Rhinolophus ferrumequinum: one gene and its partners. The protein of the gene in region 3 interacts with the protein of the main gene of each other region in a pairwise test. Links are inferred from orthologs where the notes say so. Each region holds a gene or a part of one and is shown on either strand. Other genes may lie near its edges. The genes, in order: RD3, KLF3, EHMT2 and MX2.

Region 1 (6,946 bases), on a different chromosome or scaffold from region 3:
CAGTGAATCGTCAGCCAGATGGACGCATTTAATACGTTATGACGATGTTCCAGAAGAAGATGACATGACTGTATTTGAATAAATGTAGATTGTTGTACATGAAAAAATAAGACATCCCCTGAAAATACGTCCTAATATGTCTTTTGGAGCAAAAATGTAAGACCCGGTCTTATTTTCGGGGAACTACGGTATATCTCCAATTGTTTTTAAAAACACGTCAAAACCTGCATTTCAATACAGCTGGTTTCTTTCGTAATCCTATGAACTTAATTTCATGCACTTAGAAACATTTTGCTGAAAACGTGTCCACAGGCTTCCACAGGGGACCATGGCACAAAAAGTAAAGGATCCTGGTTTGGTACAAACTTGACCCCAATCCTGATCCTGGCCTTGCCCCAACCCTGGCTTCTAGGGAGGCCTCCCCTCGCCTCCTGACCCCCATGAAGGGAAAGCTCAGGGGTAGAGCTTCAGTTCACCCAGCACCAATAGGAAGGCTCTCACTTGTTCTATCTCTGCCCTTTGGCGCCACTCCCCTGAGCTCTTTCTCCTTCATTCTCTGCCCTTCCTCTTCCACCTTCCTCTCCCCTTCATTACCCCTTCCACCCCCACACTCTCTGAGCCTTCCCTTAAGCCTATTTTTTAACATCCCTGAGGATGACATCTTTTCTGGGGCTCCCTGGGAAAAGCTACCACCAGCTGTGGCTCGTTAGATACTTGAATATGCTAGAAACATCATCTCCGTGCCGCCAGGGCAAGGGGAGTCTGGTTCTAGGCAGCGAGCAGCGGGAGGGGGACCAGGAGAATCTCAGTGTGGGTTGTGTACCCTTGGAGCAGGAAGCAGGACTCTGACTGCCCCGCAGAAGGCATGGGAGGTTTGCCTGACTCTAGCGATAAAGGCCACCAGCCCCCAGCCAACCAGGGAAGGACAGCTCAGTCTCTGCCAGGAAGCTGTTTTCTTGGTACCAAGACAGGGAGCCCCACCCAGATGCCACCTCTGAGCTGGGCTCTAACAGCTGAGCTGGACTCTGCAGGCCAGGCTGAGGGGTAACCGGCATGCTTCCAGGGACCCGTGGGCACCCACTGTCTCCCTGAGCAGGCAGGCTGGCTTTGCTGAAGCTGGATCCCGAGTCTGGGCAGAGGTCTTGGAGCAGGTACGGAGAGCAGGTGCTCCCCTCTCTAACTGACCTTCCTCCCAGCCCTGTTTGCCAAGGTCCAAGACCAGCTTCACAGACTGCAAATGGACCTTAGTTTTCTTTGGCATCATAGAAGAAGAATAACAGTAATCCACCAAGCCCGGTGTGACTCAGCCTCACCTGTGGGCCTCTGCCCACCTGACTAACACCTGCTCATCTTTTAGGACCCACCTCAAGCATCAGCAACTCTTTGCACCCTGCCCCTCACGGCACCCCCTGAGGTAGAACGGTGTGCCGGCCAGTACCTGCCAGATGCCATCATGGCATCTGTAAGAAACACGTTTCTCACTTTTTTTTATTGTTTTTCTCTCTCTCCACTTGGCTACAAGCTCTGTGAAGGCAAGAGCTGAATTTGTTGACTCTGCTGACAGGCAGTAGGCACTTGATAGGTGGTTCATGAATGAATGAATGAATGAATGAATGAACGGCAGTTTTCCTCATTCTGAGGCAGAGGTTCAATCAGAAGGGAGCAAGTACTCGGGTCCAACTGGCCATAGTTGGATGGGGTTAATCACCAGGAAACTCTGGCCTGGTCCCACAGTTGCCCCTTGGACTTTTCCTTCCCAGGCCAGGTCCTCTTCCTGGAGCCCAGCCCACACCTCTCTGTCCAGGCCTGCTCTCCTGGGCGTGTTATCGGGGACTCATAGAAAACTCTGTGGCTGGAACCCTGAGACCCACACATCACCCACGTGTCCTACCCACTGCTGTGTCCCGAGAGCCTGATTCTGCACCTCGGGCTTAGTAGGTGCTCAAGTTACAGCTCTCAAATTGATGAGAGAATGTCCGATTTGGGATTCACCTCCCTTCTCCTGCCTGGGTCCTCCCCCTAAAAACAGAAGAGAAAATGCTGGGGCGGGGTCCTCCCAAACAGACACGCTGGTTCCAGAGCAGACAATAGCTATGGCTTCCCATGGGTTTATAAAGCAAGGACACGCCACAGTTCGAGGATGCCTGTCGTGCAGGGTCTCTGGTCCCGCTCCCCACACAAGAATGCAGGACATGGTGAGGCCAAAAAGGAACACCCACGGAGCCATAGGTAGGGGAGTCACACCACTGTACTCTCACTGGCCGCTGGGTTGGAGACACAAGAAACAGGAGCCACACAATTCTCAACCCTCACTGCACAGCTTGCAGGCTCAGCCAGCATCTTCTTGCTCGCCCCCATTTTCTGCTAGCCTAGCCACGGCAGTTATATTAGTGCCCAATGGCTCACTGGTTACAGCTGACGGCCAACTAGCCACAGCTGATGGCCATTTGATCACAGTCGATGGCCATTTACTACCTGAGCCAGCACCTTTCTATGTAAGGCCGAGAGTCTGGAAACTGCTTTTTGGGGCTCTGTCCCCACAATGCCACAGAGACCACCGACTCCTGTGGAACAGCTCAGGACTGACAGGGTCTCCCTGTGGCCATCTGACCCTGGACTCAGACTGCTCAATAGACTGTCCTCAGCCTGCCACAGCCCAGAAGCTGCCTCTCCCAGCTCCAGGCTGACCGCCCTCAGCTCTCATTTCTTAAGGCACAGCTGCTGTCCAGGTGTGGAAGCCACTGTCTCCGGAGGAGACGCCCCTCTTACCTGGTTCTCTGAGGTCTGCCTCCACTGAGGTGAAAGGTCCAACAGGGGTCCTGCTTTCTGCTTCCCAGTCTGGGAGAAGAGTGTCTGGATCTTTTCAAGGAAAAGCAGAAACTTTGGAAGCCATGCATGGGAGGGCAGGGTAGAGAGAAGACTACATCCTAAGCGTCTCCTTCCTCTTTCTCTTCTGCTTCTGGCTGTGGCCTCATGCTTTCCCCTCTCTTTCTGCCTCTGAGAAGTTGTGCCGAAGAGAAAACAACACTGACCAGAGGAGGGATCCAGCCTGCTCTGTGTGTGAGTGTGTGTGTGTGTGTGTGTGTGTGTGTGTGTGTGTGTGTGTGTCCCAGGAGGCTGGAACCACGGCTCCTCTGAAGAATGGGAGGCAGGCCAGCTCCTGATCTGTGGTTGCCTGGAAACCCACCTAAGCCTCTTTTACCTCGTGCTGTATTATCTCTAGAGGGAGCCCTCTGACATGACGCAGACACCTGAGAAAACCCAGTGGGGGAGAGAGGCCTGCCTCCAGATGGCTTTCTCAGCCGCTTCCTCCCCCAGCTAAGGTGAGGGTGGCACAAACGGGAAGCAAGACCCCTCACTGCACCCTCTGCAGAGTCCTAGGTGGACCTGCTGTGGGCAGATGTTTCCAGCTACTTGGTGAGTGGTTCCTGGCTGGAGGTCTCCTCTTCCCACCTCCTCCCTCCACCAGGAGAGGGGCGATTCTGGGTGCCGAGGGCAGCGGCCTGAAAAGACGTGTCTTTACCCTAGTCTCACGCACCCTTACCTGTCCTCCTCTTTGCTAATCAAAATTCTCTCCTTCCCTCAAGGCAAACTCAAGTACAGAAAGTTATTCTGACTTTCTGGAGTTGGGGTGAGCCTGAGGAAGTAATCCAGGGAGAAGAGGGACCGTGAACTGTGGTTACTGACTTTGAGGTACTTGAGGTGACACACAGGGGCTGGCAGGGACCTCCTGTTGCTGTCTGGCATCCCACAGTCACAACTGGGCCTTCTGTCTGTCTCTGTGCTCTGGACACACTGTTATTTGCAGACTATTCTGGCTATGGCCACGTGAGGGCCAGCTTGCACCTAACAGACATTTGGTGGCACTGAAACGGATGTATGCTGCCCTGTGAGGGGCCTGGGGGAACTGTAATGGGCCCTAAGCTGCAGTATAATAGATCTCAGGTGATGCTATACCAGGTACCAGGTGATGGAGTGACTTCTGGGCAAGTCTAGTCCCGATCGTGTTGAAAATAAAGCAGAAATTAAACTATCTGATGAGCTGACTCAGCTTGCCCACCTGTCTGCCTGCATGTTTTTATTTTTTCCCTGGGTGATATGCCACTTCATGCTTGTTCTATGGCTGGTTCCATTGGGCCACCTGAATTCCTTCCTTCGTCATCTTCTCACGCAGGGGTCTTGAGTCAGGAGCCAGGTCATATTATTGCAGCACAACAGTCCTAAAGGTTGGGAGGGTCGCTGATCGGATGACAGACACACATTTCGAGCCGCTGAAGCTCACTTCCTCAGACCCACAGTGCCGAAGTGGCTTCCTCCCCACGGCCAGCTAAAGCACGAGCAACCTAGAGCAGGTAACTGTAAGTCCTCTGAGCATCCCTCTGCCATCCTGGCATGTCCCCAAAGGCAGAAATTCCAAGGAATTTCCATGCTGGGGGGAAGGGAGCGGCAGGACTAGAAGACTCTGTCCTCCCTTTGGGAAAGTTCCTCGAAGTGACAAGGAGAGGAGGCCAGTGATCAAGTTACACACTCCTTCAGGCAACATATATGTTGCAGCACTTTTCTATGCAGGCACAATGCTAGGAGCCAGCTGAGAAGGGGGATCCCACCCTCCTCCCCTCTCCACACTGCCCAGCCAAGCCTCCAGGAGGCTGCGTCAGACAAATAGAGAGTGGGGAGCAGGGACAGTATTAGAGTTCAGAGCTAACGGCTGTGCAAGCTACTACTGACCATTCTGTTAGAAGGAAAAAATTCATCTCTTTTCTATAGCCATGCATTTATCTTGCCATGCACCGTCAAGCACACACAGCTAATATAAAGGAGAGCCTATGAGTCAACGTTCTGAGCCATCTAAAGGAAGCTTCTGTTGCAGCAATGTGCCAAGGAAGATGTGAGCTTCAGGCTCCTGACCTGTGACTCTGGGGAACACACTCACAGACGACCAGGTGTTTACATCCTCCCTGCAGACCCAGCTGGCTCCTTCCTTGCCCTTTTCAGTGATGCTAATAACCAGGAGAGGGGGCCTCTCCATCCACCTTCCCTGCCCTGCCTGCTGCCTTGACAGTAACTCAAAGAGGACTTGCTGTTTTTGTTGACAGCTAATGTATTTTGATGCCTTGTCCTGTGGTGTGATTATCCACGCTGGGTGTGAATTTGTACTACAGACAGAGGTCGTGGTGGTTTTTCTCTCCTTTGGCATCAATGGAAGTGGCTGAAACGTAGTTAAATATGCAGCAACCCTTCAAATGGAGTAACAGCAGTGGGGCCCATGACATTGCCTCACAGATGGCATTTGATTAATAAATTGCAGATGTGGAATTATGAAGTTTTTGGATGTAAGGCTGGATTTAAAACTGGGGAGACATTGAAGAAGAGCCCTGATCCCAGATGTCAGGCTGTGCATCCTCATATGCGGGTGCTCCTCCTGTTCCCTACTCCCTGGCTTCTTTCCAGGCTGTGGGGACCATTCGAAACTATTTCTAACCACTCGGTCATGCACTGGATTTTCGGAGTCCTGCAGATGGTCCCTGTAGCTCAAATCCTGCATGAGACTGAATTAAACTGACATGATATCCAAAGGTACAGACCAGACTTGCGCTGACCCACACCTCTTCTCTCTGGGTAGCCCTCTTTCCACTCCTGTGGCCACATTTCCTCTCCCAGGTAAAGGAAGCATTGAACCTGACTTCAGGAAACATTAGAATGCTCACCTTCCTCCCAGCTGGCTTGCTTGAACCCCTGCCGCCCCTCTCTCTCCGTCTTTCCTCTCTTCTCCATTTAGCCTTATTCTGTTTAAAATGTATATCCATTAAACTAAAGGGAAGCAAGGAAAGAGACAAATGCATTCCTCATTCATTCATTCATTCATGCATTCACCGTGTTTATTGACCATCTGCTCTGTGCTAGGGAGCACCTTGGTGCCCCATTCTATAGAATTCATTCACCATCGGCTTCTTTTAGGTTCTGCCCATTGGTTTGACAGACTGATCTGAGAGCCTGTGGCAGAAAGAGCCAGTCCACCCAAGATTCATGCCCCTTTTCCCGAGTGAGGACATTTCTCAAGGAAGCAGCTAACCAGAGACTTCATTACCCAGCTTCCTTCGCTTCTAGGTAGGGCCATGTGATGAAGGATTGTGGGTGGACGGGATGTGGGTGGAAGAGCTGAAACACGATGACAGAGTGTCACCTTGTTCGACCTTAGCTGGGAATATGCTCACTGGGCAGGTCACATTTTCACATCGTGTTTCATCGCAAGGCCTGGCTTATAAAATCTCCCCGTCAATTCCCCACCTTCCATCTCTTCCCTCTTGCTGATGGTCAGCAAGGGCTCTGGGGGCCTAGAGGATGGCGGAGCCACAATTTTGAATGAGCCTCGGTCTCTAAATTAGCACGTGGAAGGCCGCCCACCAATCACCCATGTTGAATTCTCATATGTGCAAGAAATTGATTACATCGAGCTGCTAAGACTTGGGGTTTCTCTGTGATAGCAACTGGCACTACCCTAACTAGCGACAAGGGATAGACGTGGAACATTTCTGCCCTTTTCTTAGTTCCTGGAGCTCAGAGCTCTTCCTAATATGTTCCCTCCCAGGTTTTCCATCTTCATCCCAAAGAAATGAATGACTTCACCGCACATCACCTCCTGCCTCTATGCGTGACGCACACCCCGACCCAACGCCCTCCCACCTGGGGAAGTCTTACTGATCCATCGAAGTCTAGCTCCAGGGGCAAACCCTCAGTGAATGTTGCTGTCTCCCCAGCTGCTCCCCTCCCTTCACTCTCAGAAGCTTCATTCTTACTCCTGCACATGCCGTCCATCTTCATTATTCATGGATTCCATATTTGCAAATTTGCCTACTTGTTAAATTGTATGTGTAATCCCCAAATCAATACTTGTGGCACTTTTTCAGTTATTCCAGACATGTACAAAGCCTTGAAAAATGTGACT
Region 2 (7,521 bases), on a different chromosome or scaffold from region 3:
TTATCTTAAGTGGTATTTCTTATTCTGTTTTCACACCCAGTTGTGTTTACGGGAAAATAAACAAATACAACCTCAACCTTTAAATACTAGGAATTAAGACATTATTCTGGAAATTGGGTTTCTTTTTGAAGTGCTTCATTTATCATTGGTTCTAGCTTAAAAACAAGCAAGCAAACAAACAAACCCTAGAGTCATAAAACAATTGATATCTGCTTTGCTAATAGTCCAGTCAAAATTCCACTTGGAGTGAGGTGGAAGGGGAAGTATTATGATGTTTTTTTAGCATTCTCGTTTTCAAGCCTGATGTGTCCCTTTCTTAGACCCAGTCTGTCATCTGAAGCAGGAATGTCAGAGAGCCCAGAGACAGGAAACCAAACAGCAGTCTGCTCTGATAGGGGAGCGCATTGTCCAAAAGAGGTAGCCCTGCTTCCCTGCCTCCCGCCCCCAACTCTCCTTCCTTGAAATTTAGCAGTAATGAAAGAAACACAATGCTAGAGACACTGTTTCTGAGCCAAAACTAGGACTGTTTTCTCCCAAAGCAAAACGTGTCCTCCTAACTGGCCCTCTGCTTTTTCTGGAATGTCACCGTAGTTTATTGGAATTTTTTTTTCTTCTGAATTTATCAGTATTATTTCATATCCCTTGGTCAGAGTGTTTAATAGTAAACTTCTTTCTCTAGCAAAACAGGTTCCTGGAGCTTTTTGAAACTCACTCCATTGTGTTGACAGGCCAAATACATGATCGTGGCCCCCACCTAATTATTAGGGGAGCTGGAGACCAACTGTAGCAGGTTAAGTGGCCCTTCGGCCCATGCCTTCCACGTAACCCTGGGTCTAGCTCTTACCCTGATTTCCATGAAGGGAGTGCTTCCTGAGGCAGCCCCCTTCCTGGAGGACTCTTAGAGCCCAGCTTAGCCTGGGACACACTCAAGATAGTTGTCAATCTCTGGCAGGCCCAGGAATCTCCAGGGATGGCCTGAAGCTAGTCTCAACTCAGATCAGTGGAGTTTGGCCAAATCGAGACATACAAGATCAAGCGGACATCGAGGTCAGTGCATCTACCCTGGAGAGCGACCTGTGACTTAGGTGTGCGTTTTTTCTCCTTTGGCCTATATGTTCTTTCTTCTAATTACTGTCCTTTGAGTGTAATCACCGAAATCCACTCCTTTATCTGTACTTGCACTTTACACCCTGATACCTTCCAAAGTGTTGCACCCCAAAATTACTTTCATTAGTTCAAGTTCCTGTTCCACTTAGTTCTCCAAACAAGGGAGTTTTTCTCTCCTCTCTGGGGAGCCTCCCAAAGTTTTCACCGTGTTTTTGGGTTTCAGGTTTTAGAAGATGATTTTTCAGGCTAGGTTCACTGGTCCCCCAGGCAAATTTTCTCTGTGTGACCCGTGGTAGATGGTCATTCTGAGGTCCTTGCCCTTCATTTTATTCTAGCATGTGAGAAGTGTAGTTTGACATCCATTCCTGTGTGCATCTCACGAGTATTTTTTTGAGCACCTATTTATTAGAGCTAATCTCAGATTATGTGCAGTCACTCTTCTTAGTTATGCCACAGAATGGAGTCGGTCTAGAGAGCCCTGCCCCGAAAAGGTGTTTTGAAATCTTAATTGCCCTGTGGAACCTCCCCATGGCCTTGCCTGGCACGGGCCAATGTGGCACTGCACATATCCCACACCCTCCGCCCAAGGGAGTGACCCCAGTGTGAGATGATTTTACTTAAAAGTCAGCCCCACAGCACAGACTGAAGCAAAACAGAAAGCCCTGGGTCTGCAGGCAGACACACTTCTGTTCTTGGCTGCAGCTCCAACCAGCTCTGAATTTGGGCAAGTCATTTCACCTCTGTTCCTCCATTTCCTCATTTCTAAAATGGGGATGAGGACCTGACCCTTCCACCTTTGTACAGTTATTATGAGGATTTCCGTATTTACTTGGGTAAAGCTGCCAATTTCTCTCAGCAGTTTTATGGACCAGTGCAGGTGCATTGGCCAGGAAGGATAATAGCCTAATTTGGGGCCTTCAGAATGTGTCTTTTGATCTTGCGTCCAAGCCTGCACTTGCAGAGAGAGGGTAGGCATCAGGGGCCAGGTGGGAGGGGTTGAAATCGCCACTACTGTAAATATACTGTCCCCATTTTCCATATCCCTCTTGGACAGATCTGTTTGCACAAATTGCTATCCCACTATTGCTGTTTGTGTTGTGATGTTGTTCTCTGCCTGGGGAGGCAGAAGAGCAGGGTGCCAAATGTACCTTGAAGTCAGACTACTGTGGGTTCAAATCCTGGCTCTGCAATTTAGCAGCTGTGTGATTTGAGGCAGATTACTTTACCTCTCTGTTCCAGTGTTCTCGTCAGTAAAATGGGAAGGTAATACACATTTCATGGGCATTAAATCACATGGTCCATGTAAAGAACAACACCTGGAGATTGCCAGTCATGAAGATGGTGAGAATCAGCAGGAAACGTGTGGCATTACTTAGCATCTGGCTTTCCTTGGTTGAGGGAAATATCCTTTTTTAAAAAAAAAACCTAGTTTGTTTTTTTTGGCTCCCTTCCTCTCCCTCTTCATGTAATCGCCTCCTTTCTCTCTCTCTCTCTCTCTCTCTCTCTCTCTCTCTCTGTCTCCTATTTTAGGCTCTAAAACAGTAGAGACCTTGACACTAGGCTTGTTTAGAAGATCTTTCCGGGTGGGTAATAAAAAATTCTTTGAGGATGATACTGACAAGGTCTCATAACAGGCAAGCAATAACTTTTCAAAAATAAGTTTGGTTTCCATTAGTGTTAGGACCCCCTCACCCCCATTACTTATTTAAGGGAGATTTCAAGTGCATTCAGTGGGAAAGGGAAATGACTGTGTGACTCCTCCTCTGGGCTAAGTGCTCTTATATTCACTCCTTATGAGTGTTTTGTCATTTAGTGACCAAGCCTGATGGCCTTTGGGGGAGCGGGCAAGTTAAAAGGCTCAGCCTATCCAGGTAAGAAGGTGGCCTCAGATCCACTGGAGTGCGATCAGCTGGCTGCACAGAATGGGGAGCGCCTTGAGCTGGTCTTTGAAGAATTAGGAGGATTTAGATAAGCCGGAAAGGAAGGGGATGGGGCATTCCACGCTGGTTGCCCAGCATCAGGGCCAAAAATGAACAAAGGCATGGGGTGGGGGCAGGGCAGCCAGCAAGCAGCACTAAGGGCGCTTGTTGGAGCAGGGGGCAGCTGGTTAGTTAAGGGGTGCCCAGCATGGGTGCTGGAACCCACTCCACAAGCCCTGGGGATCCTGTTGGAGGGAGGAAGGTTTGTGAACTTGGGAAAGGCTAGATGAGAAGAGGGCTTTGAAAAATGTAGGTGGCGAAAGGGGTCAGGATGGATTGGAGGGGCCAAGGGACTAGGTGGGAAGACAGTGAAGGAAAAAGCTCCAGGAACACAGCGTTAAGGCACCGAGGACCTGGCCTCCAATGACAATAGTAGAAATGGAAAGAAAAGTTGATGAGGAAGGCTTAAAAGATGACCTCTAGGTTTCCATGGTGATTGACCAGCAAGTAAGTGCGGAGGAGGGGGAGAATTTGGATTTGGGACATGTTGAGTTAATTCTCTTACATAGCCACGGTTCCGAATGCATTGCTTTTGAAGGGAGAGGGCAGTCTTAGCTCATGGTTCATATCCAAAGCTGCTGGGGTTCTATGAGATGAACTCTTAATGGCAAATCCTCAGGAGCCCAGGAAATTGCCACCACCCTGACGATTCTTTCTGGTTATTTTTAAGGTTCCAGCAGCCATCACTGCTGAGGCCAGAGTTTCCAGGAACTGGCTCCTCACTGGAGCCAATTGGTCCCTCCCAACCTCCCACTCCCTCTAGGGTGGGGCCCCATGGGTGGAGGCTCCCAGGGTGGAGTGGGGTGGGTCTTCAGTGATAGGGCACCGAGCAGAGAGGCAGCCTGGCCTCACGCAGGCCTTCTGGATTTAATTATATAATACTTCACAGAAGAGAATTGCCAGGACTTAGGCCTTGTAAGATAATGCACACAGCAGGATTATACATTGTGGGTAATTTTCATAGGATCTTGGGTTGCTTGCCCTTAAAACTAAAATACGAAATTGTCAGCCTAAAGAGGGAAAACCAGTGTGTAACCTCAGTAGGGAAAATGATTAGCATTTGCTAAAATTTCTTTAAGAAAGGTGTGGAATGCTACTAGCCAGGTGCCGGCGAACTTGAGAGACTTGAGAGTTTACTTACAAGGTGTGGGTTGGGTTTCCCCACCCCCACCCCTGCTTTGCTGGGCCTCAGTCTGCAAATGTGTAGGGACTGCTTGGCTGTTACCTTTGCACCTGTCCTTATTTACATGCAAAATCAATTGCTTCACTCGGTCTTTCCGAAGTACAGGGTGTGGGCAGAATCTTATCTGAAGCCATGTCCTGTTTGGACAAGTTGGACTTGCCTTGGCAACTCTCCATAGGGTGGAGCAGATGGGTGGAGGCAGGAAAGTAAAATTGGGTGGCTTGTTAGTTGAGAGAGAAGAGAGGGCGGATTGTTTGCTCACTGGATCATTATATTTAATTTGAAACTAAATAATTAACTTCTTTCCCATTTACAAAACATTTTGATGCAAAATATCTAATTTATGAGGGGCAAAGATTTAGACATACTCCATGGGATTTTTTTTTTCCTTTCAAACCAACTAGAGAAGACTGAGGTAGGTGAAAATCGTCAATTGATATGAAAACAGGACGCATTTCCAGGTAGGTGCCAGCATTTGGCTGTTCTGAAAGGAGCCTGCCTCCTTGCATCTGTTGCCTGGCCCTTTGTATTTCTGGCCAGAGCAACTGCCATTAAATATTCAGCTCCTCAGGAGCTTGAAGAGTTTGGGTACAGAAGTAAAGAAAGAAAAGTTTCTTTGGAAAGGAAGTTTAGCTTCAGGGATGTTGCCCGCCCCCTCTGGTCCTCCTCCTGGCCAAGAATTACACATACACACAGAGATGGGGGTTTTTATTCTTTTCTTTTTTCTCCTGGAGTTCCTTTGGGGATTAAAGGGTGGGGGAAGGTAACATGCTTCCTCCTTGACTATCCAAACACTTGGGAGAGGTGGGGGGTGGGGTGGGCACTTACAGATGGTGTGTTGGTTTGATCCTGCTGTTTTTCTCCTTACACCTGGCTTAGGTCAGCTAGGAAACAGATTGGGGTTGAGGAACTCAGGTCATTTGGAACCATGGGATCAGGCTGGATTGGGGAAGGACACGGCAGGAACCCTTTGAGGATCTGAGGAGCACAAGATATGGAAAGGGCATAAAAAGGGAGATGACGAGAAAGGAGCCTGTCAGAGGCAAATCCTGCTATGTCACCAAGAAACCAAGCATTCTCTCTCCACATTTATTCTCTCCCTTTCTCTCTGTCTTCTAAGGAAGGGGTGGGAGGGGCGGAGGGCAGTCATTTATAAAGTTGTTTCTGAAATAAACATGCTCTAGCTTCATAACCTCCTTCCTTAGGGGCTGTGTGTGTTTCTAAGCTCCGTAGTGCATTTGTACCCTCATAAAGCATATGGGACTGAATAGGATTGTGAGATGCAACTATCTTACTTACGAAACTTCATGTGAATGATGCACTGCAGCTATTTAATACATAATCATGCAGTTTTCCATTTGGGCAAAAACCTGACCCTGAAAAGTCAGAAGTATAAGTGCAGAGAGTGTGAAGGGAAATCTGTTTCTTTCTTTTGGAGGAAAATTCAGCTGTATTGGCTCCTCCCAGCAAAATAACATAGTTGGGGAAGATGACACTTGCTCCACTTACAGAAAATTACTTTGGCAATGATGTTTCTGTATTTTTGCTTTTAAGCACCCGATAACTTAGAAGTTTTTAGAATCAGTTTTGCCCTTTTTGTTTTTTGAATGCAAGTTTTGTTATTCTGGGATTGCTTAGTTTAGAATATAACAACTAAGATGTAAATGTGCTTGTGATCGGAAAATAGTTGTAAGAAACAACAGAACCACATTTGGGGCCTCATCATGTCTGTGATACCCACATAAAATGGTTAACAGAATTCCTGAGCCTGCTTTAAACCCACTAAATTTAACTGAATTAAATCCACTAAATTGGCAGACTCAGTTTGCTGCCACTGTCCTAATCTCTAATACCTGTTTTAGCACGCCACCTACTGGTTCTGCGTAAGATTGCTGTCAGTGTTGTGTAATAGGTTTTCTACAGCATTTGTAGTTTTTTTTTAACATTCTTTTAAAGTCATGGTAATAGCCCAGATCACTGAGCTGCCCATGTGGAACTAAAACCACTAAATTTAGGCACCCTAATTCTTCCAGTGCTTCAGTTGCTTCTCAGTTACATGGAAAGCACTTTGCAGACATTGCAGTCCCATAAAGTTAATACCAGTGGCAAAAGTGGTCTGTTCAAAGATAGGCACAGTGGGTAGGTACAGAATATATGAGTTTTTTGCAAATAAATAAAAGCTTGATTTGTGTTAATGTGTTTGATTCTCTTCCTAAATTTGGTTCCTTTCTAGCTGAGCTTCCCTCACCTGTTTTTGTTAAAAGTTTTAGTTACAGAATTTAAAAAATTTTGAATTGGCACTCAGATGTGTATAAAGCTGTCCCATCTCCACCCTACTCCCTAGAAGCTCTTATCAGATTAGGGCACACCGTTTTCTCCATATGTCCTGTATCTTGTTCCATGCCCTGTGACTATCACTGAAAGTATAATCAGCTATTCTAGAACTGATAGCTTCTAAATTGGGAACAAAGTGCTGTTAGACATGTGAATGGACAGTGAATTTGATTCTGTTCATAGTGACAGTTGACTTTCGCACAGACTTTTTATTTTATTGTCTAGTGATGCGTTATTTAATTTGGAGTTTCAAACTGAGGTATTCTTATCCTGTCATTCCTTCTTCATTTATTAGCTGAAATACTTCTATATTGAGAAATGTCCCTTCATCATGACGGAGTTACTCTAAGATACAGTTCTGAACAAAGAAACATACCTTTACAATTCTTTTTTTTAAAAAATAAAAATGAATCAGGTTTTGTTAGAACAAATGCTTTAGACTGTTGTTTTCCCCTTATGATTACAAGTCTTGCAAAGCACTAATTTCCTTACATTTTGATAACACATAAAAATTAAAGAATGAAAGTGATTTCAGTAATGTCTTCCAATGGTACAAGGTATAGCAGGTTAGTGTGTAATTCCTGTCTAAATGGAGTCAGTAGTCGTTGCTACAGGCCTTAGGAACAGTCATTAAAGGCTTTATGCGCAAAATGGTGGAGTTAGGATTTGACCCCAAATGAACCCCAGAGCCTGTCGTCTTAATTCCACTGTGCTGCTCTTCCTGGTGGTGGAGAGCTGGAGGTGAGATGTGGGGATGCTAGGAAGGTATTGCAGGGGTGCAGTTGTGAAGGGCCAAGGCCCTACCTGAGAGCTCAGACGGGATGTGGGCAGGGATATGGCAGCTATTCACGGTTAAACTGCCTGGGGCAGAGGGGTTGTCCTGGAAGGCTACGTGTGTTAGCCTAGAGGCAAACCCCT
Region 3 (7,952 bases):
AAATTAAAAAAAATTATTTAAAAAGCCAGCTGAGTATTGAAAATTGTTGGAGCTGGGTGATGGCTACATGGGGCTCATTCTTCTATTCTTTTGTTTATACAGTTGGCTATTGAACAACACGGGGGTTAGGAGTGTCAACCCCCACACAGCCAAAAATCCATGTATAACTTTTGACTCCCCAAAAACTTAACTAGTAGCCTACTGTTGACCGGAAGCCTTACCAATAACGTAAACAGTTGATTAATACATTTTGTATGTTTTATATATTATATACTATATTCTTACAATAAAGCTAGAGAAAAAAATGTAAGAATTCATGAGAAACATACATTTACAGTGTTTATTGAAAAAAATCCACATATAAGAGGACCAGCGCAGCTCAAAGTGTTGTTCAAGATCATCTGTATTTGAAAGTTTTCATGATAAAACACAAAATAAAAAGCAAAACAGGCAAGACGCAGCATTATAGTGCATAGGCAAACATGTATGAGATAAACCAAGAGCAAAGGGATAAACGAGCAAACAACAAATAAACCATAAAATGGGATGCTAAACCTCAAGTCCAGGATGGTGGCCACTATGGAGAAGGGCACAGGGATGGAATGGGGCGCAGCATATATGGCAATAAGTTAACGTAGTGTGGGGCAGTGAATCAGGGGGTGTTCAGAAGATAAAAAGAGAAGAGTGACACAGGGGGCCACTGAGGGGTGACTGACACAGGGGGTGACTGAGAGTGCACCCGGACATGGCTGGCCCCTCTCACCTTGCTGTCAGAGTCCACACGCTCATCCACAGAATAGGCGTCATAGTAGAGGCTGAAGTCATCCGCCACCACCGTCTCCCACTCCTCCAGGGACCCAGGGTCCCTCTTGTCCAAGGTTATTTCTCCTGAACCCCGAGCAGAACCCAACTCCTCCGACTAGAAAAAGATCAGAACAATGGAAGCTCCTAGCACTCCCCCACCAACCAACCCATTTCCCTTGGAGCAGGCCCCCAGGTGGAGAGGCCTTGTTCCCTGCCTCTCGAGGCTCACCAGGCCACTTCCCGGGTTCAGCTTCCTCCTTTTGGCCACATCTGGAAGGAGAGAAAGCAGTGAGGCTTGTACCCTAAATCCTCAGGACTGGCCACATCAAGCTCCAGGAGGGTGGGAGGTGGGACTGACCTGAGGTCACCTTCCTCAGCGAGTGCATGTCATCACTCATACGGAAATGCTGCACTTCAGGTGGCCGCTTCTCAGGGACTGGGGGCTGGGGACCGAGAGGGAGCACACTTAGGGTCAGGGAAGGAGTAGGGTCGGTGGCCAAGATTAGCCTGGAGCCCCAGATGTGGGTGGGATGGTAGCCACACCCTCAAAAATGCCATCTGTACCTGCACTAACCAGAATGTGGCTATAACAACTGCTGTCTCCTGAGAAGTGTGTCAAGCACATCCCATACCTAACCCTCATTTCTCTCTTCAAGCATGCAGCAGGCCCTTTCTTCCCATATTACAGATGAGAAAACAAAGGTTAAGGCCTTGACCAAAGCTACCCAAACCACACCCAGAACAAAATGCTACCAAGAGCCCCCAAAACACAGTCATAAAGCTTGTGAGATTCTGGGACCTCTGTCATTTGTGGGCCATATCTCCTTCCCAGTAGGAGGTACAACCTTTAAAAATGAAGCAGGGGCAGTTTCAAAAACAGGAAAAAATCCTCTGGGGGCTTGCTTTGAGGTAGAAAGAAAGAGTGATTTGAAGTTTCTTTACATAGTCATTATCTTAAGAGTACTTAAAACATTGAACTATGTAAGTCTTTACTTTTGTCTCTTCTATTACGCTCTTCCCAGGAATTATAAACTCCAGGAAGACAGGAACCTGTTAGTTCAGATTAAGCCCCAACCCAGAATTTAAACAAAGTAGCCCCTTGATAAATATGTAAAACTGTGAACAGAGAAGGCCCAAAGCTAAATTGTAAAAAAAGCCTACAAGACGTTGAAGGTTGCTTACCTGGCCCTCCCATCCCCACAACCCTCTCACAATCCTCACCTGTCCATTTCCAGGTTTGGACATGGTTTTCCTGGCTCGGTGGACCTTGGGCTGCCCCTCCGGACTGGTTGTAGCTGGAGGGGGTTCAGGCCCTGCTGCTGCTGCCCCCTGGGCTCCAGGCATACTCAGCAGCCTCATCGCCAAACTCTGGACTGATGGGGGTGATTTTCCGGCCCCTGTCATTGACATCTTGGCACGGCTGGGACAGGCATTCCCCCTGCTGGGGGAAGCCGGGAATGACTTTGTGGCATGGCCTGGAAAACAGACAGGCAGGCAGGCAGAGAGAGGCAAGATAAGAAGGAAGGCAGAGTCAGAGGATACCCCACCTCACCCCCAGACTCCGAAGCCTCTCACCCAGCAGGATGCGTCCCCCTTGGAGGTCCCCATCTCCCTCAAGATTCTCAGGTTCATCCCCAATGGGCGGTGTGGCTCCTACAGGGGTGTCAGCCCCCTCATCGCCAACAGTGACGGTGACAGAGGCTGGGGATGAGGGGCCTGCAGCCTCCAGGGAGTCGGGGTTGGCCTTGGGCAGGGTCTCCTCACTACAAGGGGTGTCCCCCAAAGAGCCATGAACTGTAAGGGAAGAGAAAAAGTTCAGGGCTAAGGGCTCAGGGGATCTTGTATTTGGAGAGGTGAAGGTCCAGATGGGCCCGTTTCTGCTGTACTCACCTCTCTCGGTGGCTCCTCTGGGCTCCTTGTCCAGCACCAGCGCCCCCATTTCAGCGGGGGCCTCTCCCTGGGAGGCGACACAAGGTATAGGAGGACTGGTCAGACCAGTAGGAAGTTGGGGGGCCCAGGACGCCTGGGCCCTGGGGAGAGAGAGTAGGCTCCGGGGCCTACCTCTTCCTCTATGGGATCCCCCCCTTCCGCGGCCTCGGCTGCCGGGAGGGGCCGCACGACCCCTCCCCCGGGCCCGCATCAGCCCCCTCCCTCTCGGTAGACCCCTCATCTCAGGGACCGAGAAGAGAGGAGGGGGAGGGGGCGGGGCCTCAGCGCCCCGGCCCCGCCCCCTCCTCCCGGCTGCACGCGCCGCTCCCCCTTTGTCCCCCAGGCCGCGGGGACCCCGGGCACCAACCCCTCCAGCGCCCGCTGCCCCCCAGCCCGGTGGACGGCCCCTTGTGCCCCTCGCGCGTGCTCCTGGGGCCCCGGCGCCCGCCGCCCACTCCGGGACAGCCGGCGGCTGCACGCGCGCCTCCGTGCCCACTCCCCCCACCTCCCACCCCCTGGTCCCCTCATTCGCCCCCGGTGCTGGCCCTCCGGATTGCTGTAAGTCCCGCCCGGGCCCCCCGGCCCCGTTGCACCCCCGGAGCATTGCACGGGTGCGCGCTTCCCCCGGGCGCGCGCGCGGGCATGCACCCGCCTCTCCCCCTCCCCTTCCGCACCTCGGCGGCCGCCGCCACTGCAGCTCCCGCCGCCGCCGCCATCGCCGCTTGCGCTGGGGGCCGAGCCGGCGCGCGGCCGCCCCGGGTCACGTGGGTGGGGAGGGAGGGCTAGGAGGAGCCTTAAAGGAGCCACTGCACAGGCCTCTGGCCATTTTCCCCCGAGAGCGGCCTTGGAGATGGCAGTGGCTCCCCTAAGCTGGGCGCTGTGGGGGCGAATCCTGCCATTCCTAGCTTCAGCTCATCGGGGAACCGAAGGTGAAGCACGCCTGGGTCCGGGTGTGGGTCTCCATCCCCCACTGTTTTAGGTAACAAGCGGAGCGTCTGAGCCTTCCGGCTCTCGGCAGCGGCTGTATTTCCAATCTGGTCCGCGTGTGCTTCTGCTTCGTGTTGCTCTCTAGTTTCTGGGTCACCAGGCAGAAAGCTCGGCCTCAGTTTTGGCCTCGCTTCTCTAACGAGCAAGAAGGGGATGATGGGGACGCGCAGAGAACACTTTTACTCTTGGCTGGTTCTAGCATGCTGCTTCATGTCCCCCTTTGAAACCTGGGGCTGTCTCTTCTGTTTGTAACAGACATGTTATGCCACCACATGCACTAGGGATCCAGGTAAGCCTCCAGTGGCCCAAGGGTCATTACTGTCTAGTGACACTCTAGTAAAATAACCTTTTTTGCCAAACACTTCACAAGCATAGTCAGGCACTCCGTGGGTCATACATAGCCCAGCCCACACTGGAAGTATGAATGATACTAGGCCTTGGTGTACAACCTTGATAACTCTATTTAGGGTACCGTCCCTTTAAGTACTACTTCTGGTCAAAGTTAGGAAAACATCTGTTTGATTTCACCAGCAGTATTTGACACAGGCAGGTGGTTCGGATATAGGGCACCTGAGGCCAATTCAAGGCCTTCTGGGAACTGTAGTTGTCTTTGGTTAACTTTTCCAGAGCTTTCTGGGAATTGTAGTCTTCCCCATACCCTAATCCAAAGTGGTTTTTAGCTTTCCCGAGGGCGTGAGCCCTTTCCCCAGACCAAAAATGCCCAAACATAGGCTCCTGCTTACACTTTCAGTGGGCACAATGATCACACCTGTAGCATATCCCTGGACCTGATACCAAACTCCTCAGAGGAGCAGGTCATGTGTTACCACCACTGCCAAAGAAATCACAGAACACTTGTGCTGTGAGCTGTCTGCCAGGTGTGGAAGTTGCAGAACTGGGAGGGTACCTGTCAGAGGAGCCCACTTGTCACACTGCTCTTCTGCTGTCAAGGCTCCTTTAGGCATGGGACCTGCATGAGTTTTGACTTCTGGGTATTGAGCAAATGAGAGGCTGTCTAGGGTGGGTCAGTCATTTACAAGCAGTTGCCAGAGTATATAAAGAAAAAAAAATTGTTCTTTTTTTATTTTGTGGAAAACAAAAGCAGAAAAACTAAAAGCCCAAACTCCAGAAAAAATCCTAAAAAATACGTTTTGTTTCTTTAAAAAATACTGTATGTCTCTACTCCTCTCCCTCCCCCCAAAGAGCCCTTCTTGTGTCCTTTCATCTACGTGCCCTACCCCCCACCCCCTACTATTTCTTGTTCTTGCTATTGTACCCCACTTCCCAATATCTACCTAGGATGCTCACCCATGTTCTCTTACCTGCCACCTTACTTGTTCTCCCTAGAATTTTAGTGAGCCTTGTACCCACAGTCCCATTCTCCCAGCATGCAAGACCTGTCCCCACTTACTTTCCTGGGATTCAATAATCCTTCCCCCTACCAGTCCCTTTCCCAAGGATCTATTCTAAGCAGAAGCTTGTGAGCTGCCTCCTGCCAAATTCCCTCCCGATTCCCTCCCACCCACCCCTACCTCAAGAAATGTCAGACCTCTCCCTGGGAAGGCTTAGCCAGTAATAAAACATTTTCCAGTCTTTTTTCCTCCTCATTCTGTAGGACCCTTTCCCTCCCTCCACATTTCCATGCACCTCTAAGAGAAGACAATCTTTCTCTGGGACCCCATATTCCCTTGGCCTTCTCCAAGAACTCTCTGCCTCTCCATCCTTTTCTTCTGAAGATGCAGGATCTTCTCTCCAAGGAATTTGGGCGCTTCCCTCAGGATGTGTATGTCTGCTCAGGCTCCCCACCGTACCTGTTTGTCCCCGACACACACCCCCTATTCTCCTGGGCCAGGGAGCCACCTTCCCACCCAACCCAGGAACCCAGCGCCTGCCCGGCTAGCGGATGAGAACGTTGATCTCAGCCACGCTGGCCTCCAGCACGTTCTCGGCCGTGGTCTTGCCGTGCTGCTCCTTGAGGTGCCGCCTAATGGCAGGCTTGTGGGCGAAGCGCACGTCACAGTAGGAGCAGCGATAGGGCCTCGCTCCTGAGTGAAGGTTGAGGTGGTCGTGCAGTGTGGACTTCTGCGTGAAGCACTTGCCGCAGATGCCACAAGAGTGTGACTTGACGCCGCGGTGCACGTTCATGTGGCGGTTGAGGTTGCTGCTGTGGTTGAACTGCTTGCCGCAGCGCGGGCACATGAAGATGAAGTGTTGTGCCCGCATGTGGAAGACCAGCTTCTCCACGCCCTGGAACACTTCCGGGCACTTGGTGCACTTGATGTTTTTTAGGGGGTTTGTACTGGAGAAGCCCCCTGGCAGAGGGCCCCGGCTGCCCCCTGCCCCCAGGCTGCCCCCCGCCCCCCGGGCAGCCATGGCCACCGCTGCTGCCTCTACTAGGCCCGAAGTGGCCCCCACGCTGGCCCGGCCTCCGGGGATCAACAGCAGGCCCTCCCCTTCTGCGTCCTCAGACAGGCTGTAGCAGGCTTTCACCACACCCTGTGGTGGGGCCACAGTGCTGGGGGGCACGCTGCTCTGGGCCAGCTCCCCCAGGTGGCTGCCCACTGAGCCACTGATGCCCAGACCTCCTCCTAGGCCTCCGGGAGGTTTGAGCCGGTGTGCCACCTCCAGGGCCGACTCCACCTTGACGATGCAGATGTCAGACACATCCTCGTCCTCATCCTCATCCTCTTCCTCCGCCTTCAGCTCCAGGTCCTCATCCAGTGGGAACTCCAGCTTCACAGGCCGCAGCAGCGGAGGAGGTAGAGGGGGTGGGGGGGGAGGTTTGGGGGCTGGCTTAGGGGTCCTGGCAGGAGGAAGGAGGGATTTGGTAGCACTGACACTGCTCACAAGGCTGGCATCGCTGACCCCATCCTCTTTGAGACCTATTTTGGGCTCAATGAACTGGCTGAGGGCGTTCCGGCATTTCTCTACCACGTGCTCCATCTGCAGGTAGGAGGCAGCCGTCAGGTAGTTAACGATATCCCTGACTGCGAATTCCAGGGCACCCGTGTAACAGGAGAGCAGGAGGTCGGCCACGATGCGTGCACTGTGCATCAATGAGACCTGCAGCTCAGAGCTGGGGTTCAGCAGGAACTGGTCCCGCAGGAAAGGGGAGCAGGCAGCCAGGATGACCTTGTGGCCGCGGAACTTGAGGCTGTCGGCCACAATGGTCACGTCGCAGAACCGCTCCTCTGCGCGGAGCTGGTTCATGTTCCGCAGCGTAGCGGCCTCGTGGCCAGGCAGCTGGAAGCGCAGGACTTCCACCCCAGAGGCCATTGTGGCGGGGGAGTGGGCAACCCTGGTTGGGAAGGAAACCGGTCAGAGACAAAGGTCTCTGGCTCTCCTAAGCCAAGGCTCCAGGCCCCTCGCCCCCATTCTTGCCCGGTCCCCCAGCATCACATCTCCCAGTCTTCAGGCCTCTTCCTCAGTTTCCCCTGCCCCGGGGGGAGGCGCTGTCCCTCCGAAGGGAGGGAGGCGTGGTTCCCGGGGGCGGGGCAGCGGCGTCCATACCCCCAGCCCAACCGCACCGCGAGGATGGGGAGAATCCTCGTGCCCTCGGAATCACAGAGGAAGGGGTAGCAGAGGCCTTGGACTCTAGGCTCTGGGGTGCCCAGGATGCAGGCTCTTGTCACCCCGCCCCCTTTACTCGCTGCCTCTTTCCTCCGCCCCCCCTTTGCACGTTTGCACGCGCCTTTCACGTCCTCCCCCCGCTGCCTGCACGCATGGTGCACGCCACCCCCCCCCCCCCGCCCCGCTCAGAGCTCCGTGGCACGCCCCCCCCAGCCCCACGACCCTGAGTGCACGCGCCTCTCACCTGGCCCGGGTCCGCGCGCTGTGTTTTTCCCCCCCTACTTCCCCCACCCCCCCGGGGCCGCCGGCGCCCCCACACTCGGGCAGGGCCTGGGCAGCGCGCAGGCGCGGGGGTGCACAGGGCGCGCGCGCGGGGCCGGCTCCGCGTGGGCGTCAGGGGGGAGGGGCGGGGGTGGCTCGTGCTGTGTGTTCCAGGCCCCGCGCGCGGCGGCCGCGACGAGAACTCGGGGAGGAGGAAGAGGGGAGGGAATTAAAGGAGCAGGAGTTCCCCCCTTCCCGACCCCCCTTTCTTCACCAGCCCCCCCCACACGGTTAAAGGGCCGGACGACCAGGCCTCCCCTTTGGCCGGTATTATTTGTCCGCCAGAGCGGAAATACGTTCCACATCCCCCTCTTTCACGCTCCCCCTCCTCTGTGCCTCCG
Region 4 (7,474 bases), on a different chromosome or scaffold from region 3:
CCTGCAGCTGCTCGCCTGGAAAACTTGGAACACATGTCAAAAAATATGTCCCTCTCTGCAGGGGCAGGTGTCAGGGGTGGTAACCAGCCCCCTCTCTGGGTTCCAGAGCCCCCGAGAACCCCTCTGGAGAGCACCTGTGCCACCACTGAAAAGGCGGCAGGGGTGGGCAGGGGCTGGGGGATGCAGGGGTGAGTAGGGGGAGCACGGAGGATGTTTCGGGCAGTGAACCAACTCCGTGTGATGCTCTGATGGTGGACACACGTCACTGTCCATCTGTCCAAACCCACAGAAGGCCCAGCGCCAAGAGGGGCCCCTGCTGTAAAGTGTGGGCCCTGGGTGATGACGATGCGTCACTGCAGGTCCATCAGTTGTAACAGAGGCCCCACCCGGTGGGGACGCTGACGGCGGGGGAGGCTGTGCGTGCATGGGGGGCGGGGGGGGGGGGGGGAAGCGGGGGCGTATGGGAAACCTCTGTGCCTTCCCCTCAGTTTTGCTGTGAACCTAAAGTGATCTAAAAAAGTAACTTTCTTATAAGGGGAAAAGAAGCTGCCAAGGAGAAGACTTAGATGGGCAACAATCCCTGAGCATCCTGATTGCCCAGTCCCTCTGTGGGGTGAGCCTCAGCCCCACCCCAGCAGAGGCTTGGCAGGCCCCGGGACAGCACAGCTGGGGGCCGGGAAGCAGCTGCCCCTCCCACACAGAGAGAGGCCAGCGCCTCTGGCTTTCTGCCCTGGGAGGAAGGCCGGAAACGTAGGGTTTTTCCTGACCCCTCTCAGCACTTTTATTACCAAGATTCCTGGACTTTTGACACCACAAAATCCTAACAGATATTGTTCCTGACTGTGGAAAGGGTGTCACCAGCTGAGACACTCCGCCTGAGTGGGCCTTTGTCTCACTCTAGCACCAGAGCAGGGGCACAGCCCGCCCCCAGGCCACTCAGCCCCCTCCTGTCAGGCACCATGCAGGAGAGCGGACAGGATATTCCTGTGCTCAACCAGCTTGGCGTGACCCTCCATCATTCCTCCTGGCACCCGCCTTGTTTTGAGGGTCACCATTATCACCCCCATTGGAGCAGGTGGGTCCCAGAGAGTGAGGGGTCAGTGGCCTTGGACCCCAAAGTGCCCTGCGGGAACAAACACCTGGGTAAGATCTGTGCCTGTCCACTGGACTCCCGGGCCCCCTCTGAGGAAACATCCATGTGGCCTCCTCTGTCCACTGATGTAGAGAAGATGTTAAAGAAAATTTGCCTTCATTGGTGGTTGTGAGCTTTTGTCTATTAGCGTTTGTCTGTTTCTGTATGTGAGGTGATTTCTGTGCTGTGATCAGGGGTTGAGTAAATTCCCCCTTTGGTCTCCTTCTCCCAAGCAGGGGAGACATGAGATGAGGTTTGTTGTTCAGTCCATGTTGTGAGGTGATGGTTAGCTTAGGATTAAAGAAATTCTTGATCAGGGGTGGAGAGAATTCCCTCTTTGTTCTGTCTGTTTTGCCCACATCAGCAGATGAAGTGAAGAAGTAGCTAAGTTATATCAGGACGACACAACAGGCACATTGCCAGGCTTTAGAAGACCTTGGGCTGAAGGTCCCAGCAAGAACAGTAGATATTGCTTGTCCGGATGAATTGGCCCTTTGGCTGGATGGGCAGCATTCATATCAGTAACTGCTGGACCCTCCCGGAACTGGCCATTCCCCGAGGGAGAGGCAGGAACAAGAAACTTGGCTCTAAGGTGAATGTGAGGAAATGTATATGATAGACCTCAGTTTGCAGTGTCACTATAATTATTGTTCCATCATCTGGTAATTTTGTCATTGGTGATTTCTCGTCATTCTAACATTGTGAAGACCTCCAGCAACATGCAGCTTACGACACCCGAGGAGGTCCTGACTTCCAGCCGCGAGCCTGGTGAGGTCTGGCTGGTTCCCGGCCTCTCCAGTGTTGTTCCCCACGGTTAGCCTTCTTGAGAACTTGTTAGCATCTAGAAAACTTGTATGCAGCTTGCAGCTTACAATATCAGAAGACGCCCTAACTTCTACCAACAACAAAGACCTCAACAGCAGTCTTAGGAACTAGCAAGAAGCGGTGTGGGAGATGCCTGAGTTTCTCTCAGCTACAGACCTGGCAAGGTTTTGATTTATGACTTTTCCAGTGCTGTTCTCCCCCGGGTTGGTGAGATTTTGGCATCTACTGTAATAGTTACTATCCTACAAAGCTTATTACTGCTTTTGGGTACTCCTTACTGATGTTATTTGTGTATTTAGCCAAGTGATGTTTGATCAATAGTAAACATATGTTGGGATCTCTTAAACTTATATGTATGTGGACTCCTTTGACGTGACGTTGTTATCAGTGTATAGAGTTTAGTCTTAACCACCTTTCTGTCATTAGCACATTCTATTAATTGCCTTTGTCTTTTGCTGTTGCATATTGCTGAATAAATTGATTAGCTATTGCTAAATAACTAATCAATTAGCCTCCCTAGTGTGTCCCTCCTCCTCCTTTTCCCCCCTGCTCATCATTACAACTGAGAAAGCAAACTCCGAAGGAGAGGCCCGTCCGAGGGTGGGCACACTCTGCCCCCGGTGGCAGGGAGCTTCGTAAACTTGCAGGGGCCCTGAGAACGGGTCCCTTCAGCTGCAGTTTGAGCATCAGCTGACCCTGGTTCCTCCTGGAGAGGAGTGTGTTGGAGGGGATGCCGTTTTCCACAAAGAATGGAGGGTCCCCCCGCCGTTCTTGCTGCCTCCATATAAGCTGCATCATTCTGCCCAGCTTCCAAGGTTCCTTCTGTTAAAAAAAGAGACAGCAGGCCCAAAATGGACTCATTTGTGCTAAGCTATGTCACCAAACCGATGCTTAATACCTAACCTAACTGCAGTCCTCCCCCAGGAATGTAATCTTAAATGATCAGTTTGGAATTTCCTGGTCAGCAGTAGTAGATTCCACTACAGTCATCACTGTCATCCACCCCATAGATCAACCCCTCGGGTCCCCCCAAAGAAAAATGAGGTAATCTGCTTTTTCCTTCTCCCTGCCCCCTTCTGTCTATGAAAAGCTTTCATTCAGTGCAGCAACTGGGACTCCTTTCTATTTGCTGGATGCGATGCTGTGTGATTCATGAACCATTGAATAAAGCCAATTTGATCTCTAAATTTGTTCAGTTGAATTTTGTGTGTATTCCTTTTTTTTTTTTTTTTTTTTTATGCTTCACTTGTGCCTTTCCGGGAGCCGCAGAGCGAGCAGCAGGGCCTGTTATAAAAGACCTAAGTGGTGAAACAAACAACCATCAGTCTGCAGAGGGCCCAGTCCCCTCCCCAGCCCCTCCCCCCCAGCGGCCCCATCCTCGCGGCCCTCACCCCGCCCCCGCCCCGCCCCCTCAGCCCGGCCCCCACTCCCCCTTCCCCCCTCTCCCCGCCTCCAGTCTCGCGGTCAGTGTGGGATCCTGCAGCCCACCGCTTGCCCCATGACCTCCTCCGAATGCCGGGATTTAAAGAACATCTTTGAAGCCTCCAGGTTCCTTCTTTAAAAGGAAAACCTGTCCACAAGGGCAGTCAGTAAAATGAATGAGCAAGGAGGTGGTGAGAATGAGTTTTGTTCATGTAACATGTTTTGGAGAGGACTGCGTGAGTGGAAATCAGACTGAAGCCTGCTCCCTCCGTCCTGCGCCAGCCCCGCTTCCCCGGGGCTTCTCCGGGCTTCCAGACCACCGCTCCCACCCGCGGGTGGGACTGCCTCGCTCGCCTCCATCCACTGCCATCGCGGGGGCGGGGAGGGGGCCTTGGGACACCTGGGGGCTCACTGCATTTTGGCAGGCGCGGTACCTGAGGACCAGAAAATCAGGCCGCCTCAGGGCCGAGTTCTGGTCTGGGCCCCGCCCTCTTCCTGCCACACCCGGCGGCGCGAGGCCTCTCCGGGGCTTGGGAACCTTCGCCAGTGGGAGAGAGAACACCTTGTACAGGTGGGTTAATTGCCTGACGCTGTACACTTAACCTGGGGGAAAGGTGGCAGAGGGTGACATCGGTCTGCGGTGGCTCAGGCGGGAAGCCAGCAGGACGTCTGAGAACTTTCAGATCACACGCTTGAGTGAACTTGGCCGCCCCCCCCCACCACCCCCCCACCCCCGTCTGTGTGAAACACCCAGCTTCTCCCGCACCAGCCACATTTCAAATGCTCAGTGGCCTCCTGTGGCTTGTACTGGACAACAGAATGGAACATTTCCAGCATCGCAGAAAGTCCCAAGGGACAGCGATGCTCGGTCACTGGATCCCCAAATGTGGGTCGACACCAGCTTCCCCTGAAAACATGGTTGCAACGCAGGTTATGCACCCCACGCCAGGGCTCGGGCATCCGGTCCCCCCACCTGCGGGGTAGGTCCAGACCCCCCATTGTTCACGAGCAGCCCCAGAGATTCGCCCGTGGACCATTATATGAGTCACCCACGAACTTGATCTCCAGTTTCATTTCCGTGGCCAGGGCATTTGGTTTCATTTCTCCGGCTGTTGGTAAAGAGGAAACAGTGGGGAGGAGGGGTTCGCACACATATAAAAGGGAAGCCCTGGACGGGAGACAAGGGATTGGCCCAGTGTCGGTTCCGAAGGCGCACAGGTGAGAGCTGGGCTGGGGCGGGCGGGCGCGTCACGCCGCCGTTTTAGCGCAACAGATGGGCCTTTCCGAAGGAATGCCTGGTAAACCTGGCTGGTGCCAGAGGCAGGTGCCCTAAAGGTCGGATTCTGACGCTGCCCTGTGGGACTCTCCTTAAGCCCCGTGTTGGCGCTGGCCCCCAGCCAGCCCCTCTCGCTGAGGGTGCGTTTTACAGAAGTGGCCCCCCTTCCCGAATCTGGCCAAAAGCCTTGTGGCCACGCAAGGGGCACTTCTTGGGACACTTGCTCAGCATCCGTGGAGGGCACACATCCCGGGGTGGGGCGGGAACTTTGTGTCTGTGCAATATTGTGATTTATTGGAAGAAATACTGTGCATTACATCCTCATAGTTTGAAAGGTGCTGAGAGAATAGATCTTAAAAGTCTTTATCACAAGGAAAAAAAATGTTGTAACTGTATGGCGATGGATGTTAACCAGACTTATCGTGGTGATCGTTTTGCAGTCTATACAAATATTGAAAACAAAAAATTCAGTAGGTTACCTGGTCTTCATCCTGGTTCAGAGCTTGAAACCCTTGTGACTTCTTTAGAGGGGAAAGTGTTGTCTTTTGTCATGTTAATGAGGTGACCTTTGGTCTATTGGGGCCTGGTTGTCCCTGGAACAAACCAGGTGGTTAGAAGGTTGGGACTTTCAGCTCCACCCCCAACCTCCAGGGAGGGAGAAGGGTGGGAGGTTGAGTCAATCGCCAATGGCCAATGAGTTAATCAATCACCTATGTACTGAAGCCTCCATAATCACCCCCAAAAGGACGGGGTCCAAAGAGCGTCCAGGCTGGTGACCACGTGGGCATTCAGGAAGAGGGGCACCCTGGAGGGGGCTCGGGAGCTCTGTGCCCTGTCCTCACACCTTGCCCTGTGCCTCTGCCTGTTCCTGAGTTACATCCTTTTGTCATACACCAGTAATCCGGTGAGGAACTTGTTTCTCCGAGTTAAGTGAGCCATTCAGGCAAATTAATTGAGCCCAAGGAGGGGTTTGTTGGAACCTCTGATCTAGTCAGTCAGAAACACAGGTGACAATCTGGACTTGCCCTTGGCATCTGAAGTGGGTGGGATGGGGGGGCTGGAGCAGTCTTACAGGACCGAGCCCTTACCTGAGGGATCTGATGCCATCTCCAGGTCCGTAGTGTTAGAGTTGAGTTAATTGCTTGTTGGGCTGGGGGATGAAAAACACCTGGGAACTGGGATCAGGCTTGCAGCCCCAAAGCCTGGCATCCGGGCTTCAGGGGCCCTCTCAGTTATGGTACTGGTGGCCCAGGGCTGCCCTCGGTGGTGTGCGGAGAACTCCACCTTCTGAGGGGACAGGGCCCTGACTTCTGGCATTTGCTGATGCTCTGTGGTACCAGGTAGTGCTACAATATTCTGCCTTCAGTTCTTACTTAGAGAGACATTGATGCCAAGTGTGCCCAGCAGAGTGGGATTTGTGGGGAAGAGATGAGTTGTAAACAAACCTAATCTCCTCCTAATCTACACCTCCAGGTGTCAACAAACCTGGAGGATTATGTCTTGGGGCTGCCATGACAAGGTTTAAACAATTGAAAGTATTCTCTCCCCCGGCCCTGGAGGCTGGAAGTCTGAGATCGGGTTTCCCAGGTTGCTTCCTCCTAGGACTCGGTGTAGAACCCTTCCTTGCCTCTTCTAGCTTCTGGTCGGTGCCAGCAATCCTTGGTGTTATTTGGGGAAAGTATCTCCAGATGCTGTGGTGGCCTCTCCAGATCGTGCCACCAGCCAGAAGAAGAAATCCACATGGTCACCCAAGACATGGGGCCAATTGTGGCAGATTTTTCTGGACAATCAAACAGTCAGCTCTTGCCTTGCCGAGAACTGGGGGGTTAAGCAGAGGACAGGGTGAAGGCGTGGACTTGGGTCCTTGCGTGATCTCATCTTCTTTCTCTTTCCTGGAAACTCCGTGAATCAGATGGTTGTTGTTGTATTCTGCTTTTAGGATAAACCAATTCCTAATTAGTGTGGAAGGAGGCAAAATACCCCCACAGGCCTGTCTAAAGGATCATAGAGATTCAACACAAGATGCCAGGTCAAAGGGGAAACAAGTTTTTAGTTCATCACAGTGCTCTTCACTCTGCAGCTGTAGTCTCCTCAGCAGACCCAGGGCCAGGAGGCCATGCTGGGGATGGACACAGGGCACTGGGATTCAGGCCTCTGGGGCCTGCAGAGACTCCTGGTGCTCAGTGAAGCATGCGGAAAGCTCAAGCTCCCCCCGCCCCCCACCAAAATAAAAAACAGCCTACAGGAAGAAGTGCAGGGCAGAGGGGCTTGTCTTCAAGAGTGCATTTCTGAAGTTTGCCCGTCTCTTATGGTGTTCGGCCATACCGTTCCAAAGCCCGAAAAACTTGACTCTTCCTTCTTTATCAAAGTAATGTATTATTTACTGGCCTCCTGCGTCTGTCGCCTTCCAGCCATGGGCCATGGTGTCCTGGCTGCTTAACTGGTCTGAACTCCACTGCCCCTTCTCATATAAAATTCGGGATAATGTAAATGAGATGTGCAAACCACATAGCACTTGGGGAGGGCACACCAGGGCACAAATGACAGCCAAGCACGCCCTGGACCCTTGGGAATTGTGCCTGACCAAGGGTGCAGGATCTGAACTGTCTCTTCTCCTCTCCCAGAAGAAGAGGAGCAGCGCCCGCTCCTGCAGCATGGCCCCTCCGCAAAGTCACGGCTCGTGCGCTTACATTAAGGAGGGTCACATACTCCTTGTTTTATTTCCTTGTATTGAGGAGAGTAACTAAGTTGATGGCATGTCCTTGAGGGCAATTTGATTTAAAACAAAACAAAACCACAACAAACAGAGACGGTTCACA

Evidence for each region.
Region 1: the proteins of EHMT2 (region 3) and RD3 interact in binary tests that used the Homo sapiens proteins (3 or more experiments, as listed by UniProt). The two-hybrid records come from large-scale screens. The link is inferred for Rhinolophus ferrumequinum from reciprocal best matches to the Homo sapiens genes EHMT2 and RD3.
Region 2: the proteins of EHMT2 (region 3) and KLF3 interact in binary tests that used the Homo sapiens proteins (3 or more experiments, as listed by UniProt). The two-hybrid records come from large-scale screens. The link is inferred for Rhinolophus ferrumequinum from reciprocal best matches to the Homo sapiens genes EHMT2 and KLF3.
Region 4: the proteins of EHMT2 (region 3) and MX2 interact in binary tests that used the Homo sapiens proteins (3 or more experiments, as listed by UniProt). The two-hybrid records come from large-scale screens. The link is inferred for Rhinolophus ferrumequinum from reciprocal best matches to the Homo sapiens genes EHMT2 and MX2.

The regions. Positions count from the first base shown.
Region 1 is NC_046305.1:20,547,748-20,554,693, reverse strand, and holds the start of RD3 (protein RD3), read right to left. Parts: upstream 3,003-6,946; 5' UTR 2,770-3,002; intron 1-2,769.
Region 2 is NC_046288.1:61,378,029-61,385,549, reverse strand, and holds the start of KLF3 (Krueppel-like factor 3), read left to right. Parts: upstream 1-4,514; 5' UTR 4,515-4,612; coding exon 4,613-4,684; exon of another isoform or gene 4,685-4,730; intron 4,731-7,521. UniProt on the Homo sapiens protein: Binds to the CACCC box of erythroid cell-expressed genes. May play a role in hematopoiesis.
Region 3 is NC_046286.1:2,354,094-2,362,045, forward strand, and holds the start of EHMT2 (histone-lysine N-methyltransferase EHMT2), read right to left. Parts: upstream 3,003-7,952; 5' UTR 2,975-3,002; coding exon 2,695-2,974; intron 2,599-2,694; coding exon 2,380-2,598; intron 2,280-2,379; coding exon 2,026-2,279; intron 1,248-2,025; coding exon 1,163-1,247; intron 1,075-1,162; coding exon 1,034-1,074; intron 920-1,033; coding exon 764-919; intron 1-763. Other genes in the region: ZBTB12 (zinc finger and BTB domain-containing protein 12), read right to left, coding at 5,617-6,996. UniProt on the Homo sapiens protein: Histone methyltransferase that specifically mono- and dimethylates 'Lys-9' of histone H3 (H3K9me1 and H3K9me2, respectively) in euchromatin.
Region 4 is NC_046285.1:105,548,954-105,556,427, forward strand, and holds the start of MX2 (interferon-induced GTP-binding protein Mx2), read left to right. Parts: upstream 1-4,461; 5' UTR 4,462-4,597; intron 4,598-7,474.